Drosophila melanogaster: one gene and its partners. The protein of the gene in region 1 interacts with the protein of each later gene in a pairwise test. Each region holds a gene or a part of one and is shown in the gene's direction. Other genes may lie near its edges. The genes, in order: CkIIbeta2, CG31688 and CG8128.

Region 1 (4,953 bases):
ACCGCATATCTGGAAGACAATGAAATGTTAGCTTGAGTGGTTTCCTCTTAAGGAATTCTGTATTACCAGGTTCTTCTCGAGCTGCACGCTGATTTGTTTACGGAATTTCGTCACATAAATCTCGCTGATTCCTCGGTTTTAGGCATAGTAAGCACGTGTACATTGCCCACTGGCTCAGAGACAACAACTAATCAACATAAATACACTCTTATTCGTCCGATTAAGCTATTAAATTTAATAATTTTGTCAATGTTTTGCAGATTTTCTTAAAGTTCCACATGCGCAGTGTGACCGTATGTCGTAGATTATAGGGCAGCATGCGGAAGATACAAAAATGCACGACACAGCAGTGTGGCTGCATACGACTTTACAGTTAAAATGTGGTTACCCTAGAAATAACGTATTTTCGAAAATTGTAAATTGCTAAGCGTTTTATAAGTTGCATTTATTCAATATTCTTGAAATGCATACGCACTTAAATAAATAATAATTACATTGAAATGTATTCTTAGTTAGATTTTCTATAAATTATTTTGCAAATTAATGCTCTTATAACACTTTCACTTTTTATGTGCATCTAAAAGCAAAACCAAAGTTGAGCCTTTGCCAATTATTCGCTCATCCGTTGTCAAGGTTGTGTGCATTTGATTCTTTTTTATTTTTGTCGGCTGGATACGTGACTATGTAGTCCGAAGATGGAACAGATGCAGTCCAATTGGTGTCAGACGAACAAGGTGCGTGTCCGGCATGATAAATATTGCAATGGTTCCAATTGTTTAATATAAAAATGAGCAAATCCCAAATATTGCACCGCAGTTTCAATCGAGCCGTTCATTAAAATGGTGACAAAGGTATGATGTGGCTATTTAATAAACATTTTTACGTAAATCTTTTTGGCATTCCTAAAGTTGCTTCTACTGCTGCCATTTGTGGCCATTGTACAAGCTGAAGTGGATTTTACCGGTGGACGTATAGCACCTTATGCACCAACTGGTTGGCATCCGCAGATTCCATTCAACTTACCCAACGAGTATGTGCCTGCTATCCGATCAAGTCAGGGAGTAGAAATCACAAAGGCACGAGTGGACCAGTTCGATCCAGTGGAAAAGCCCCAGCCAAATTATTTGCCTCCAAATCAACTGGATATACCCGAGGAAGAGATTTTGCCCACCTCACGACCGTCCAACAAGTACGGTCCGGCAGATCCGAAATTTAAAATCATTTATCCTGATGATGAGGAGCCAGTTACTGCAAAAAATATCGTAGACAATCAGCAGCCCAAAATCAGAGAGGGACGTTACTTCGTCATTTCGCAGGACAATAAACTACAAAGAGTTTCTTTCAGCTCCCAGCAAAACGCAGATGCAGATGCAGATGATTTTACGGCTCAGTTGACTTACTCCACTGTGGGGCAACTCAAGGATCCTGTGTATCGATACAACAGACAGGGACAACTGGAGCGGGTCCTGAAGTAGGCAATTTGGATATAGCTATTTGAATATGTAAAATAGAGTTGTGCAATGTATTCAATTCTCAGAATGAATTATCTTGTTAATTATAAAAACAGTTTGGTTTTTCTTTTTGACTTTGTTTTATACAAAAATGCTTCTTTATTCATTTAATAATTATTAAATATACACAAAAATCTCATAAGTTCGTTTCACTTTCGAATTTCCATTTTCGTTTAAAAACTAAATACAATCCTTATGCATGTATGTATGAATGCGTAATGGTCATGTTGTGGGTGAATGGTGTGTTGGAGTGTGTGCGTAGACTAACACAAAATGAAGGCGCTTAAACAAAACAAAACGGCAAGGAGTTCCAGGTGTAGAGACGGAAAACAGGATAACGAACAGCAGTGAAACGGAAACGGAAAGGAACGCGCCTGTCTATGGCAAAATGGCGGGCGTCCCACTAAGGGTATGCACAGAGATGGGAATAGGGTTATATGGATAGACTGACTGCGATCGCTGGCCCACTGGCTGGATGTGCGTTTAATACTCGGCCAGCGATCCCATGAAGTAGACGAGTATAGTTGCGGGGTCGACCTAAATCGGGTATCCTCACTTCCCCATCTTAGTAGCCGTTGAATTTGCCCTGCTGCGCGTTGCTATCATAACCGCCACCGTTGCGACCATTGCCATTGCCGTTTCCGTTGCCATTGCCGACCTGCTCGTACCGAATGGTTGGGCGGTATCCATTCTGGTCGGCCTCGTACTCAACAATCTGTTTGCGTCCATCGGGCAGCAGGACGTAGTAGCGGCCCACAGCAAGATCACCATCGCGGGACTCCATGTGGCCGAAGTCATTGCCCGACTCGTAGTCCTGTACGTCGTACTTGAACTCGTACTTGGCCGGTCCATACTGCTCCTCATCCCGTTGTCCGTAGCCGTTGCCGTTGCCATTACCGCCGCCATAGCCGCCGTTTCCGTTTCCGTTTCCGCCCTTGAAGATGGCACCAGTCAGCGCTGGAGCACCATATTGACCCTGGGGAGGAGCGATGGGGGCGCCATAGCTGTTGCTGGGCGCTCCTCCATTGCCACCGGCCCGCTGGGGTGGCAAGTAGTTGCTCGACGGCGACTGGTAGCCCTGCGTGGGCGGCAGGTAGTTGTTGGACGGCGCCTGAGGCGACTGATTGGGGGGCAGGTACTGGTTCTGGGGAACTGGTGGTTCCGCATGGGTCCAGGCAGCCAGGCACACGAGCAGGGCAATGGATGTAAAAGCCTGGGAATGAAAATTCAGGGTTGCATTTACATTACAGTTTTCGTTTTGAGTTGACAACCCTTGATTGAACACTCCGTCCCTGACAGCTGTCATTCGAAATTAAATAAGTCCTATTGTTAAGCTCTCGTGATTTTGACTGATTAAATTAAAGCTTAAAAGAAGCAGCTATGACCGATTCGGACGAATCTTCCTGGATTCATTGGTTTTGCAAGCAGCGTGGCAACGAATTCTTTTGCGAGGTGGATGAGGAATATATCCAGGACAAGTTTAACCTTAACTTTCTTGATTCGAACGTTAAGAACTACAAATGTGCCTTGGAGGTGATCCTGGATCTTAATCCGGGTTCAGCTTCGGAAGACCCCGCTGAACCAGAACTGGAGGCTAGTGCAGAGAAACTGTATGGCTTGATCCATGCTCGCTTTATCCTAACCAACAGGGGCATCGAACTGATGTTGGACAAGTACAACAAGGGCGAATTCGGCACATGTCCACGTGCATTCTGCCATAGCCAGCCGGTGCTGCCCATTGGTTTGAGTGATAATCCTGGCGAGGATATGGTACGCATCTATTGCCCCAAGTGCAATGATGTGTACATTCCCAAGGCGTCGAGACATTCGAATCTGGATGGAGCCTTCTTTGGCACTGGATTCCCTCATATGTTCTTTATGGAGAAACCGGATGCTAGGCCCAAGCGGGCAAAGCAGAAGTTTGTGCCCAGGTTAGATCTTCCGTTTCCTGTGTTTCCTTCTATTTCCCTATGTTTTTAAGGTAGTTACTAATAATGTATAACTAATGTAACTATGTTTTCCCAGGCTTTATGGCTTTAAAATCCACCCCACGGCCTACCGTACTGCCGCTGAGATCCAAAAAGATGTGACAATGACGCCAGTAGGAGAAATCGATAGCCCATCCCACATTTGATCCTAAAGCTAAAATTTCTCATAAGCAACTGTCGCGTACTTCTCGAATAAGTGGGCACTGTTCGCCCGGCTGGCTGCCAGCTCATTAAACTCTCATAACAATAACTGCTCAGGCTGTGACCCGCTTGACAATCTTTTGTTTGGATTTGATGGCCTGCGAGCAGGCCCAGAATTGGCTTTGTCTTTCCCATCTTTACAGCATTTAGCTGAGGCATATGCAAATCTGTAGTAATTGGGTCCCAGGTGAAGCTCCCATCGGATTGGATTGGATTTAGCTGGGCTGCAAGTGAAGGGCTAATCTCGTGATCTTGCGCAATGCGTCTGAATCTTAAGTATTCGCCGTGTGGCGCGGACAACCTGTGGGAGAACCACTTCGGCTCACTCTTACACAACTTATTTCCGAATCTTGTGCAAAAGATCTTCTGGCCGAGTGTTTAGGCACAGGGCCGTCAATGACTTTCATGCTTCATTGGCGTTAAAATGCTATGCTTTTTGGCTGCGCTTTTGTCTGTATTTTTTTTTTATCGCCGCCTGGTCATCTCCAGACTGCCTTACTTGGGCATGTCCAGTAGTTCTTCTTCCGCCACTTAAAGTTTCTCTAATTTATTCATTGCAAAATGACCCCAAGCAGCGGCAGCTGTTGTTGCTTCTGTTTGTTACCCACACCCTAGAAATGAACTGGGATCGCTGGTTGCAATTGTTTCCCAGGCGAATGATATCGGTGTTCTAATTCCGCAACCTACCATAAAAAACAGTAGCTATCCTAAACAAATTGATGGTAATCTTAACTGCGATGATGATGGCAACTTATGAAATTTATTATGCGGATCTCCGCTTGATTAATCACCCAGCTGAACTTGACTTTTAATATGGCTCAAATATTAATATTTCATGTCTTTTCCTTCCGATTAGCTGATTAAGTGCTATGTGAGACAATGAAAGCTTCATTAGTTTGATGAGTTGTTTAATTGATTGATCGATCTATTGCCAAAAACGATTTTAAATGAGGGCTATTGATTGGATACAGAAAAATGAATACAAAATTCGAACATATTTTAGCACCTTTGCAATGCAGAAAAAGATATGGGCAAATATTGTGATGTTTATTTGATCATTCTAAGATTTTGTAACCCAACGTTGTTTGTATGTTAGCTACAGCAAACTTCAATATCCTTTGAAAATTTAACAAAAGGTCGAAACTGTATCTAATAAAGGACCTATATTGAATGATCTTTATAGCTATTCAAGTTTTATATCCTTTAGTCATATCGTTTCCCGAATGCCGAATGAGGCATTGTATTTCGTTTTG
Region 2 (6,453 bases), on another chromosome or scaffold:
TCGGATCGAATCGAGGCGAAATCGAATTGAGTCGGGCTCGGGCCAGTGCCAGTGTGTGTGTGCTAGTGAGTGCCAGTTCCGAGTGTGTGTGAGTGTGCGGAGTACATATGTAATAGGGCCATGAAGTTTTATTGAAAAACGAGGCAGAGACAAGGCGAAAGGCCATAAGAATTGGGCCCGCAGCCCCCCGGAAGACCCCGACACGCCCCTTCGCAAGGAGTCGCTGTGTAGCTGTGAAAAAAGCGTGCCCCATGCAGCAGAACTGTGCCCATGTGGCTCCGAATGGGAGGAGTCGCCCATTTGGTAACGGTAACGTCGTGCAGCTGAAAAATTCCCAATCAGAAATCTGTTGAACGAAAATCGAAGAGGGTCGAGTAAAAACCTATATGTACATACATACATACATATATGCATATGCATATGCATATGCACCTCCAATAGTCGCGTATAAAATAAATCAGAAAGTACAACAAATTGCTCAACTTGCTGTGTGCGAAAAATCGGGCCAAAATGTGCGAGCGTGTGCGTAAAGTGCGTGGGTGTGTGTGAAAGGTGTAAAAAATGTACATTCTGTGAATTGGCCACATAAAAAAAAGAGGAAAAAGAAAAGGAAAACGAATACGAGTAACGAGTGTAACGACAGACGTTATATTCGGAGGCGATTCGTAGTTCTTGTTTTTGTTGCCACTTCGTTGTTTGCCCGCAAGAGGAAGGCAACAACTTAGGCCCCAAAATGCCCAGAGATCTCGACTCCGGCTCCAGTTCCAAGACCGATTCCATAACCGATTCCGTCTCCGCTTCCGGCACCAACTCCGGCGAATCCGGGGTTGGCAATAGCTATATTCCCGGGCAGCAGCAGCAGCGTCAGCACCTCCACCAGCCTACTTCGCGCCCACCCACGCTGTGAATCCCCACAAATCTGACTCAGATTCAGATTTAGATAGCGATTCAGATTCAGATACAGATTCAGACAAAGATCAAAGTCCAAGAATCTCCAGCACCTACCTGCAAGCGCCACTGCAATTAGACGCATATTATCCACAAATCAATATTAATCACCAAATCAGCAAAGTAAGCACCGCTTTTCGTTTGTTCGAGCCACACACGCCAAACATAAAGCCAATCAAAACCCATAGAATGCACATACGAGCGCTTTTGTTTTGACCGCCAAACGTTGCACGCCTATCGCCGCCAAATAATCGATATTCGATTGGTAGCGCTTCGAAGGGGTGTAGCTAGCCATGCAATGCGGTTTCCTCCTCGTGAGGTCTAATTATTGAGTATTTACCATTATTTAAGTTGCATTATTTTGATTTTTCTTGAATTTTAAATGCATTGCAAAATTATCGCAAAGTCCACGATAGTTTCGATAGGTTTTTGCTTATCAGAAGGCCAACAAAGTTCGGTTTAACCAGCAGAACCAGGCATATAATATATAATATCCAACTCTTTTATTTGTAAGTGCTTGATTACAGTTTATATGTGGGCTTAAAAATAGAATACTAAACCTAAATGTAAATTAGAAAAATGTGGTACCTTTTTGTTGCTTAAGCTTTCTGATTTTGTAAATGGAAATAATCTTCTATATTGTTATAGTATATAATGTGTTTTAACTAAAGAATTAAGTAGTAGAAGTGAAAGATTTTATATTTCATTAATTCTGTTCAATAATGCCACCTATGCTGATTTCAACTAGGGATTACTTAAAAATATTAAACTACTACTCAAGTTGGACATGCTATGCGATTTTATTTGGCCTAATGGACTTTGGTGTAGATAATGTGTTTTTTAAGTATTGCTCTTGATTATAAGCGTTTTCATGGTTAAATGCTTTTAAACAATTCGTTTAATTTGCAACTGAACTTTAAAATTAAAAATAAATTTACAATTCCACTAGTCAAACACTGGATTTTTCACTTGATCTTATACCTTAGCTTAATAGCATGCAATTTTACGACTAATTTTTGATGGAATCCACTTTAATTTGGAATACATTTCTGCGGCAATAACAAGTTTAAAATAGGCGTCTAGGGCAATTTTCTCTGTATTTCGCACTTTTCGCAGAGTGGCGTCGAACCAAGAAGGCTGTTCGAGTAATGTTTGAATGAAAAACGTGAATGTACTCTTCGCTTGTGTTGGTGTCCACGAATGGAGAACGTGTGTGTATGGGTATGACGTGACGTCACATCATAGGAAGATAATTACTGTAAAAATTGTGTGTTAAGGCATAAAAACAAAATATTAAAAAAGAAAATGCATACTCTTTTAATTATAGTCAATATGATGCAAATTATTTTTGAAATCGAAACAATTTGTGGAACTGAAATCATTTACGAGAATATAAAAATATTTCCTAATTGAAGTTAGCTTGCTGTTAAGTTTCGTTACTAAACTTTAGCTAATTAAAAATACCGCACGGCTTACGATGTTTAAATTAAATACCGAAAAGATTGTGAAAAGCGCGCGAAGGTGAATTTCGTGGTACGGACCCTATATCTGTGCTCCTCTAACGCAAGCGTCGCTTACGGGCGACCCAAACGAGCAGCATCGTGCCGTTGCCTCGCACACTTCACCTCGGGATCCAATCAGATGTTCAGTGCCAACTCGAACGAACGCGTCGAACCAAAGTGACAGCGCTGTGTGTTCGACGTCGGATGTCGTGGGCTCTATAAAGTTTACTCTCCCCACAAGTCAGTGAATGCGGTTGAAATCAGTCGTAAAATACAACAAAGGCAGCGCAGCAGTCTCGCAAATTAAATGTAATTAAGTGCATTTAAGTTTTATACCTACGTGCTTCGATTCCCAATTTTCCTGTCAACAAAGCGCCGAAAACCCCGTGCTACCCAAAATCGCGGCTGTTCTCGCTCCTCTTGTTTTAGGGAATTTCGCGTGTGCTGTCATCGGAATATTCATTGTGTTGCTGCGCGTGTGTTTGTGCGGAGAGCGTGGTAGAAGCTCCACCACATTTGTTATGTCAATAATTAGCAGCCCCAAAAACGAAGCCAGAAATGCGTTGAGGTTGAGGCGTTGATCAAATGGGAAGCACTCCCGGCTTGCCCCGCTTTTCCCGCTCTGTAAATCGCCAAAAAAACTGCGCTTGGCCATCACGTGGAGAATTGATTTTTTGCCAAAAAACGCGACGACTTCATGTGTTCTTTCTTTCCTTTTGTTGGGAAATCCAATGGGAGAGCGGGCTCTGTTTTCCAGTCCAATTGGATTATGCCCGGCCGGGCTTTGTCCAATTGCCAGATTCTTGTTGGCGCTGCTGTCTCCTCTTTTTGAATTACATTAAATATTTAAAGCATATGCAAATTTGAACAGTGGCCCCGTAAAAGGAATAAAGGACCTTTACCTGGCCGCGTCCTCAACGTGCATCCCCCCTCCCCCCCGTGGTTCTTGTTCTTCTTCCTCGGCTCCTCCTGTATCTGTAGTTGTTGTGGTTGTTTTAGTTGCTGCTGTGAACCAGATGACACGCCTTCGGTTTCCCAGTTCCCTGTTTGGTCTGCCAGAGATGAGAGCGAACTAATCTCTTTCCAAATATATTATATTTAAAACCCCTTTCTATTTAAGACAGTTTATTCTTAAATATCAAAATAACCATATGTTATATATTTTAACTGGTAGTTTGATTGCGAATCTTGTTCTTTTCAGTTTATATTTTAAGTAAATACAAATCAAGGCATCTGAACCAACCAATGCCACCCGTCTTCTCTGGAATCTAATTTCAATTCTTTTAACAAAAATTCTGAAGAATGCCTGCCAAATCCCGATATGGTAACAACTTAGCTTCGCCCGGGGCTCATCTCTATTTGGCGGCCTTTCTTCGGGCTTCCAGCGCCTTTAGTGTCGTGCAAATCGTTTTTGTGGTAAGGGGTAACCCTTCTTTTTTCGGGGGTCTGTGGGCCTGGGCCTTTTCTTTTTGCACTTCCTCGTTTTTAGTGTTTTACTGCTTACCCAAATGCCGACACCCGAAATCACTCACACTCGTCGTGGTTTTCCTTTGCAGCAGCTGTGGCTTCCATCTCCGTGCTCCCATTTTCCACGCCTTCTCCGTTTTCCCCGATTCAAATGCATTTCGATTGCTTCGTTATGTGAGTGCACTCAACTTGGGAGCTGCGTGTGTGTGAGTGAGTGTGTGTGTGTGTGGAGGAAGAGGGATTCGTAAACAGTGTTTTCCTTGATGCCATGTGTCTGTAATGCAACGGTTGTCTATCCTGCGCCGTCTCGTGTCTTTTCCTAGCTGCTGTTTCCATTTCGCACGAACGCTTTCCCGGCCCAACAGTTCCATGTCCTTGTCACCCCTCAAAAGCCGCCCAAACACCCAACCACCCAACTGCCCCTTGCCCCGCCCCCTTTTGGCCCACTTGGGCGACACGTGCTCATTATGCCGCTTCAAATTTTACTCCACTTTCCGACTGTCGCTGCCGTGCGACTCCTTCTGCGGATGTTCCTTGAAACAACAGTTTGCTTAAGCTATACGATCCAAAATCAAAAGGGTGAATTTTTTAAGCCTACATTTAGCTACATTTATCCTTGATCAACAGGATATAGGCATGTCCATCTGTTGTCCGTCCGTAAGTTCGTCCGTTTCAACGCAATCAAGTCTCTCCCTCTTAAAACTACAATATCTTAATGAAACTTTACCAAAAATTGTTTAAAAATAAAAAGAAAAAATCAAAAATGAATTGGATTAAAATCGGACGAATATAACATATAGCTGCTATAGGAAGAGTGGGAATATTAATTGAAAATATTAGAAAATAAATCATATCTTCGTTGTTTTTCACCATAAATACTTCTCTACTTTTGGCTTAAATTATTAACTTACATAAATACACATTTTGTTTAATGTACAAAATGCCAGCCAAATCAACCAGCCATTTGGAGCAATACAATCAAAGCACGCTATTATGGCCCGTGACCAAATGTTGGAAGGGTCACCTCTACTACCTCTGGCTCATTGATAACCATAACAATCTTGTTTGCTGTTTGCACTTGGCAATTAAAAACTTGTTGATTGTGGGCGCTCCAGTGCTCGTACTCTGGGTGGTGGTACTCTAGTGGCAACTACCCACAATATGGGATGATTCCACACAGCCAAACTGCAGCAGCCGCCCAAGCACTAATATTTGATTTATGTGAGCTAGTCCATGGTCTGTGGAGCCATAAAAGGTTGTTTAGGGAGATGAGATGATCGCCCTTGGGGCTGACTGGTCAGTAAAGACCACTAAGACCACTTCCATTTAGTTGCTTATTAACGCTTGGATACTTACAACCGTGTATGATTAATAGCACTTGTTCGCCAAAGACTTGCACACTTATTTATTTTGATTTTTCAACCCTTTTCTGTACTTAAAATAGCTTAACTACTTAGAATAGATATATATATATATTTAAGTTCTCTTTCGTAAACTGCTATGTGCTTTAGTATAAGTATTGTATGATGATACCTGTCCAATACCATGGTACAATATCTAACCAATAATTCTCTATATATATCTCTCTCTCTTTTGTTTTGCAGTTGCTGATAACGTATACAAGTGGCAATAACAGAATAAATTAAGCCGGAAAAAAGGTCGAAAGGCCAAAAGTGAAATCCAATCCGGTGTGAAAACCAGTGCAAAAGTCAACAACTTGTGGGAGTCGAGCGTTCGTCCTCGAGTCCTTGAATCCTGCCAGTGTGCTCAGTGCTTTAAGTGTGCCAAGTGTGCGTCTGCGTGTGCGTGAGCGTGAGCCTGTGAGTGCGTCCGGGTAGCGGAGAAGCCACAACGTCGTCCACAAAACCATCGACGTCCACAGCCGCCGCCGCCGCTGCTGCTGCTGCCGCCGCTGCAGGTTCGGGATCGGGACAAGGTTCGGGAGCGGGTGCGGTATCAGGAACTGCTCCAGGCCACCAGAGGAGCGGCGGACGAAGCGGCCAGCGACGTCGCAGTAGCAGCGGTAATCCACACGCCGGCACAACGAAAGCGACCAGTGGCAGCGGTGGAGCTGGCAGCGCCGGCGGAGGAGGAGGCGGCGGCGGCGGCAGCGGTGGAGGCGGGGTCAAGCAGAGCGTCAGCCGGAACAGCAACATCCGGAGCAGCAGCTCCAACAGCACCATGGCCTCTGCCAACCATCGCGGTGGCGGCGGACGCGGTGGAGGTGGCGCTGTCGCCGGTGCCGGAGCGGATGGCAATGCAATCGTGGGCCTGCAGATCGGCTCCGCCTGGTTTCAGCGCAAGATCAACCTGAGGCCGCAGCACCGCGGCGTCCACCTGGTCACCGAGGAGATACTCCGACAGATGCCGGAGCTGGCGCACTTCTCAGTGGGATTATGTCACATGCAAAGTGAGTGATTTCAATGATTTTCTATTACCTCATTGCTATCGAAATGTTCGAGCTAATTATGTTTGGGGCACTGCCTTCCTTCCAAAATCATATCGGTTACCAAGTTTTCGCTGCTAAGGTTCCACT
Region 3 (6,334 bases), on another chromosome or scaffold:
TTTCCGCTTGTCACGCCTTCAGTGAAAAATCCAACAAAAAAATATTACTCATTACCCGTTTACTCATTCGAATAAAGCTTATGCACTGTGACAAAAAAAAAAGAAAAAATAAAAAGAAAAACCTGATGCCTTCAGCTGGCAAAGGCACACACCCACCGACTGGAAATGGGGAAAAATCGACGTTAATTTATTTCAATTTCCAAACCATTGTCTGAATATAAACAGTTCGTTAGCGAACCCAACCAGTTTTCCTAGGAGTTTTTCAAACTTTTATTAGACAAATACGAGAACGGGACACTTGAAATTACGCTTAATTGGCGGCGAAACAATGCTGAATGCCGAGGGCATTACGGGTATAAATGATAAGGAAAACTCCCTAATTACAAACAAGAATTTTCCGGGTGCGCGCAAAATAGTGAAGGAAATACAAAGAAAAGGGTTGACGAAGATCGCGCCTGGGAACCTAATAACCCCGATTTTCCACCAACTTCGACATTGGAGTTGAAGTTTTCGATAAGCCGGCGATGGAAAATAGATATATATATATATATATATGTGTGTATATGTACGTGTCCCCAAACAGCCATAGATTTTTTAATAAATATTTGAGATGGCATTTTCACTTAAGCCACGGCATGGAAATCCATTGTGTGCAAACAGGAGGTTGGTTAGCAACCCTAAGCGGAAAATTTGTTTAAACAACTGAGCAAATATCGCCCGCTGGAGAGGGGTAACTTTTTTATGTACTCCCTCTTCGCATATTTTTTTTTTTTTGGGAATTTCCCCCCCAAAAAACAAAAAGAAATTGAAAATTGCTAAGCCGGCAATCAAAATACAAACATCAGGCGAAACTCAACGAGTACCATTGTTGTCCAACTGAAGCACCTGAATTTATGGCACAAGGACATACCACCACACACACACACACACACCTCCCCCCCCCACACACACACAACTACCACCCCCCTGGTGAGTCACGGTTTAAATGTGCATTTCGCAACACATTTACGATCCTTTCTACTCGTAATCCCTTCAATCGCGCTCTAAACTGCTAACTGGTTCCTGATTCCCCAGGATTCCTGGTCGCTGGCGCTTTGTTGCTCTAAATAGCCCTTTCCAAATCACTGGACTCGCACAAAGGACTCGCCCTCAATTGCGCAACTATTTCGATTTCAAAAAAAAAAAATCAAATTAAATAAAATAAAATAAGTGAAGAGGAGAGAAATGGGCCAAACTGGGCGCGCAGCCAAAGAGGATATTTAGTTATATATGAAAATAAAGTTTCAAAGGATCTCAACTATAGAATTTGAAGGCACCTATTGGCCTATTAAAACGATTTATACAGATATGTTTCTTTTCGTATTCAAGTAAAGTAAAAAGGCGAAAAAATTAAAAATGGAACAGTAGCTCCAAGATGACCAACGATGACGGTCAAGAGACGGATGCGGGCTCCACAGTCCAAGAAGGTGATATCGTTCTTCAAGAATCATCGCCGCATGCTCCGCAGGCAGGGCATCGAGGATCTGCTGCATCTGGCCGAACGTGGCCACGTCGAACCGATTAGAGATAGAGACTAGGAGATCGGCATCGAATGCTACATATACGGTATTTATTCCACATTTCCATTCAAATTTGAAAAGCTTAGTTTAAGTTCTAGGATTATTGAATTCCTCTTGCATTTAAATATTTTGTAGTCTACTTTTAGCCGTCTTTAAGAACGACTTCAACCCTCTGCTAATCAGAATGTTAATTCTAAAGCTGGTCGCATTTCTTATTAGAATAGCGTTAGATGTTTTGCGTACTCATCAAAAATTTCCCAATTGAATTAATCATTACTTATGCTACTACTTATGCAGCATTGTCCTTCCTGGCATTGACTGTGACTATTACTATATTATTGTAGGAAGGACTGCACGCATACCAAGAGCGCGATAAATAGCGATGACAGCAGCGAATTTTCCCGCAACGAAGCCGACGACCAGCGAACTTAAGCTCTTTTGGCCATCTAAAGGATGGAAACATTCGATATATTAGCCAAGCCGCTAGCCAGTAACTTATATAACCCATATTAGCTATTTCAAGATTTAATAAATTGTTCCGGAGGCCATATATTTAAAAAATGTTGGTTTGCTCATATTTGATTTTTAACCATTACATATAAGGCTGAACAGCTTTTTCTAGCCAGGCTGGCAGCACTGCCGGATCAGCTGACTGACTTTTCTGTGTGCGCGCCATCCCTAGAAATTAACGTGCTAGTGGAAGTGGAAGCGAATTGAAATCGCGCGCTGCTCTATTCGCTTGTTTATGCCAAAGTCCATGGCTACATTGGATCGGATCTGTAATTAGTCGTCTGGAGGAACTGGACGGATTGGCTCAGTGACACCATTAGCCATTGACTTTTCTAGTGAGTTCGAGTTCCACACAATGTTCTATTCTAGCGCAGATATGGAATAAAAAAAAATATATTTGGCTTGGTTTGTTATGTAAAACGCGTATCAATTCTCTGGCGCGTTGATAACAGCAGCAATTCAGTTGATAAACAAACACAAAACCCATGCGGAAACAATTGAAACGACCCCACACCCCAACACCGCCACCCACCACCCACACGCACCTTGGGTTGTCGCTCAAGGTTGCGCTAGAGATGAGCAGGAAGCAGTGACTGCTATCGTGATTGCCATTAATATTAGTATTAGTATTAGTATAGTGATAACACAGTTTTTTATATATATGTACATATATAGTGATACTTTCAGTTGAATCTATATTTTAGTTTCATTATACTCATGTCACCGGTTTTCTGTCAAAGTCACACTGTTCTGCGCATCTCTATCGCCACTATTTGTTACTGACGTTAGCGCCAAATTCGAAATGTCAAGAACAGAAATCCGAACGTAACAGCGGCCATATCGCTTATCTAGCGACGGCGGCAGATAGTGGCAACCTGCTCCTCCGTCTCGCTCTGCTCCGCCCATCGCAGCAGATTTGCATCGTTGTTTGGAGCCATGCGGCTATTTCACCTCTTTCACCTGTCTGTTTGCCTCGTTTCACACACACACACAGCATGCCCAGGAATTGGCTTCACCTCGCATTGTGGATAAACTGAGACGGTAAAGTCGTTGTCGCCGCCACCGCCTCCGCCACGCCCACCAAGCGGACAGCACCCAGATCTCCGGTTGCGAACTAGTAGTGACGCCAACGTGGTCGATCGCCGTCGTCGTCATCAACAACGTTGTGTTCGTCGAACTGTGAGATTATTTAATGTTGGCCACCGGTTTTCTGGCTCGCAGAACCGTACTTAACCAGCCGGCGTTCAATTCATGGAGCACACTCCTCCGGACCGCTAGAAAACGACCCACATCCACGGTTGCCGCCAGAGTTCCATTAAAGCTTCAGTCACAGCAGCAATTTACAAGAGCATACTCGTCGTAAGAATTGAAAGATGTACATACATATGTATTTAACACATGATTGAAAACTATTTGTATCCCACGATTTAGCTCCAAAACCATGGACACGCCGGCGGATGTATTCCGCGGCATTACGGATCGATTTGCCGGAGTAACAGTCGATGGGCGCGAGGAGAACGTGGACAAATCCAGTTTCCGGGACAAGCTCACAAGTAAGAATATATATCTTAAAATATGTCGGTATCTTTGCCTGGACGTATATTTTTTGTATCATTGTATCTTCTAAGTCTTCGTGCTATCATAAGTTGATTAAAAGTTTATCTATCTAAAGTTGGGGTACTAAATTAAATTTCCAAAATCATTGCTCTCCACTTTTATCAATTTAAAAGTTGTCTATGACTATAAATAGTCATAGACAATAAACGGCTTATAATTTTAATTAAATCTGTGTCACCAATTACCAAATTATATTAATAACGAAATACCTTTTAGAATCCCTGGACTTTTGGACGACGAACAAGAACCGGGCCATTTGGTTCCGCGTGTACAAGGAGCAGGCTGATTGGGTGCCCATTCTGGCGGAGAACGGCTTTGATTTCCATCATGCCAAGACCGGTGTGGTGGTCATGTACCGCTGGTTGCCGGAGCACGAGTCTAGCAACCTACCCACCTACGCCCACACGCTAATGGGCGTCGGCGGACTGGTTATCAACGAACAGGACGAGGTGCTGGTGGTGTCCGATCGTTTTGCAATGATACCAAACAGCTGGAAGCTGCCCGGCGGCTATGTGGAGCCGCGGGAGAATCTCATCGATGCGGCAATACGAGAGGTGGCCGAGGAGACGGGAATCCGCACCGAATTCCGCTCAGTGGTCAGTCTGCGGCATGCCCATGGCGGCACCTTCGGCTGCTCCGACATGTACGTGGTCATCGCCCTAAAGCCACTGAATTTGGACTTTACGCGCTGCGAACGCGAGATAGCGCGCATCCAGTGGATGCCCATCGCGGAGTATCTGAAGCATCCGCAGGTCCACGAGACGAACAGGCAGTTCGTCTGCACCTTTTTGGACTACCAGAAGCGCGGCCTGACCCTCACCTGTCGCGACGAAGTGCATCAGGTGCTAAAGAAGAAATACAATCTGTATTACGTGGATCGGGAGCAGCCACAGGAGCAGCAGGATAAAAAGAATTCGTGAGACTTGTCGGTGCAATGGCCAAATCCTTAGTGCAATTTTTATAAAGTCCTTTCTTCCAAAAGCCAGCAGCATCACAACTGCGCATTCAAATGTTCACAATGTAGTCAATAAATGAATTTTTTTGTATATAATTATATGCATATATCAATTAAAGCTCACACAGCCTTTTACAAAAGCTTTTCTTTTGATACCATTTTTAGAAACGCCAATAATTTAAAATATGGCATTATTTTGAATATGACGCCCAAACATGGTAAATACTTCCTTAGAAGGTAAGCCAATAAGGATTAAGGATGTAAGCTTCATACTTTGAAAAATATGTTTATTAAAAACAAAAATGAAAAGAAATTATTATTCTCTCCTGTTTTTTTCAACTTATTTTCAATGATATGCAAAAACCAGAAGTCGCACAAATGAGACGAAACTCGCATACGTAATGATTCTAAAAAGTTGTGGTTTGATGTACTATAATTTCCAAACGAAACATAGGCCATTTATTGGGTCAAGTTGATTTTAAACTCTTTGTTGTACGAATGCCATCTATAGACCCGTGGCCTCGGATATCGGCCAGATGCGGCAGAGCACGCGGCTCCGGATGAGGCCCACCGGAATGGGTCCGTAGTAGCGGGAATCCGAGCTGTTTCCCTTGTTGTCACCCTCAATCCAAACGTGTCCGCGCGGCACATAGTCCTTGACCATCACGGGCTTCTTCTTGTCATCCGAATTACCACTAAACTCCGCCTCAATGGGAATGGGCTTCTGGATTAGCACCTGATCACCGGAAACGGCCACGATACGCTTGCAAATGAACTGATCGGCTTTGATGGGCGATATGGCGATGACTATGTCGCCGGGCTGGTAGGTTCGCCAGTGTTTCGACAAGCGCTCGGTGAGAAGAACGTTGTCCGAGTGCAGGGTGGGCTCCATGGAGGGTCCTTTGCACTGGAAATGGTTGCATTAATGTGAGTGTACGTACTTTTCCGCAAAAGAAGGATATCAAGTGGAAGTTACACAAGGTGGAAAAACAAGTGGAGAGTACCTTAATGCATTCACACGAACTATGTGATGCTGGCACATGTTGGGCAAGTATACCCGCCCAGGAACTTCATCCTAGACGCCTTACCAGGACGAAATCGCCAATGTACTCGAAGGTGCAGTGTGTGATTGCCGCGTAGGCCACCGTGTAGCGCATCAGGCGACCCAGACGGGAGAGGATTTTCATGTCGGCGATTCCGGCGTTGGCTGCTCCACATGCGCCCCTAATCAGAGCATCTCCCGTGTCCAACGACCTGGTATTCTCTCGAAAAAAGAGCTCCTCCAAAATCGAATGTTTATGTTGTGTAAAAATCAGGGCTGCACAGGCGGCGCAGCTGAGCGGCCAGCCAGGGATGTGCCAACGATAATTTTGATGTCTAACGATAAATTTTGTGTGGCGCAAATTTCAAAAATCGATGGCCCAAAAGGTTAAACTAAAATTTAGCGCATAGAACCACATATATTTATTTTCACTTTTCAATTTTGACTAAGTCTGCCAGGCCTGGCATGTATGGTACATATATGTTAATGTTTCAAATACATCTAACATCCATTTGTCGTATATATTTCATGCAGGTCTCCAATTACATTCTTTAACTTACGATTAGAAATACATTAGTTACATTGAGAGAGTTGCTGGGACAAGGTGGTTAGTCAAACCCAAAACGTGCACAGTGAGATAAATCCTGGAAA

Evidence for each region.
Region 2: the proteins of CkIIbeta2 (region 1) and CG31688 interact in a two-hybrid assay, tested with the Drosophila melanogaster proteins (one large-scale study listed by BioGRID).
Region 3: the proteins of CkIIbeta2 (region 1) and CG8128 interact in a two-hybrid assay, tested with the Drosophila melanogaster proteins (one large-scale study listed by BioGRID).

The regions. Positions count from the first base shown.
Region 1 is NT_033778.4:20,286,788-20,291,740, forward strand, and holds CkIIbeta2 (casein kinase II beta2 subunit), read left to right. Parts: upstream 1-2,757; 5' UTR 2,758-2,891; coding exon 2,892-3,442; intron 3,443-3,536; coding exon 3,537-3,645; 3' UTR 3,646-3,763; downstream 3,764-4,953. Other genes in the region: CG34199 (uncharacterized protein), read left to right, coding at 840-851, 909-1,475; Cpr56F (cuticular protein 56F), read right to left, coding at 2,077-2,724. UniProt on the Drosophila melanogaster protein: Participates in Wnt signaling. Plays a complex role in regulating the basal catalytic activity of the alpha subunit.
Region 2 is NT_033779.5:20,426,403-20,432,855, forward strand, and holds the start of CG31688 (uncharacterized protein), read left to right. Parts: upstream 1-2,622; 5' UTR 2,623-2,759; intron 2,760-5,521; 5' UTR 5,522-6,098; coding exon 6,099-6,327; intron 6,328-6,453.
Region 3 is NC_004354.4:15,695,260-15,701,593, forward strand, and holds CG8128 (uncharacterized protein), read left to right. Parts: upstream 1-2,234; 5' UTR 2,235-2,404; intron 2,405-2,773; exon of another isoform or gene 2,774-3,063; 5' UTR 3,064-3,261; coding exon 3,262-3,428; intron 3,429-3,500; coding exon 3,501-3,622; intron 3,623-3,902; coding exon 3,903-4,606; 3' UTR 4,607-4,775; downstream 4,776-6,334. Other genes in the region: CG9240 (uncharacterized protein), read right to left, coding at 5,147-5,548, 5,730-5,828.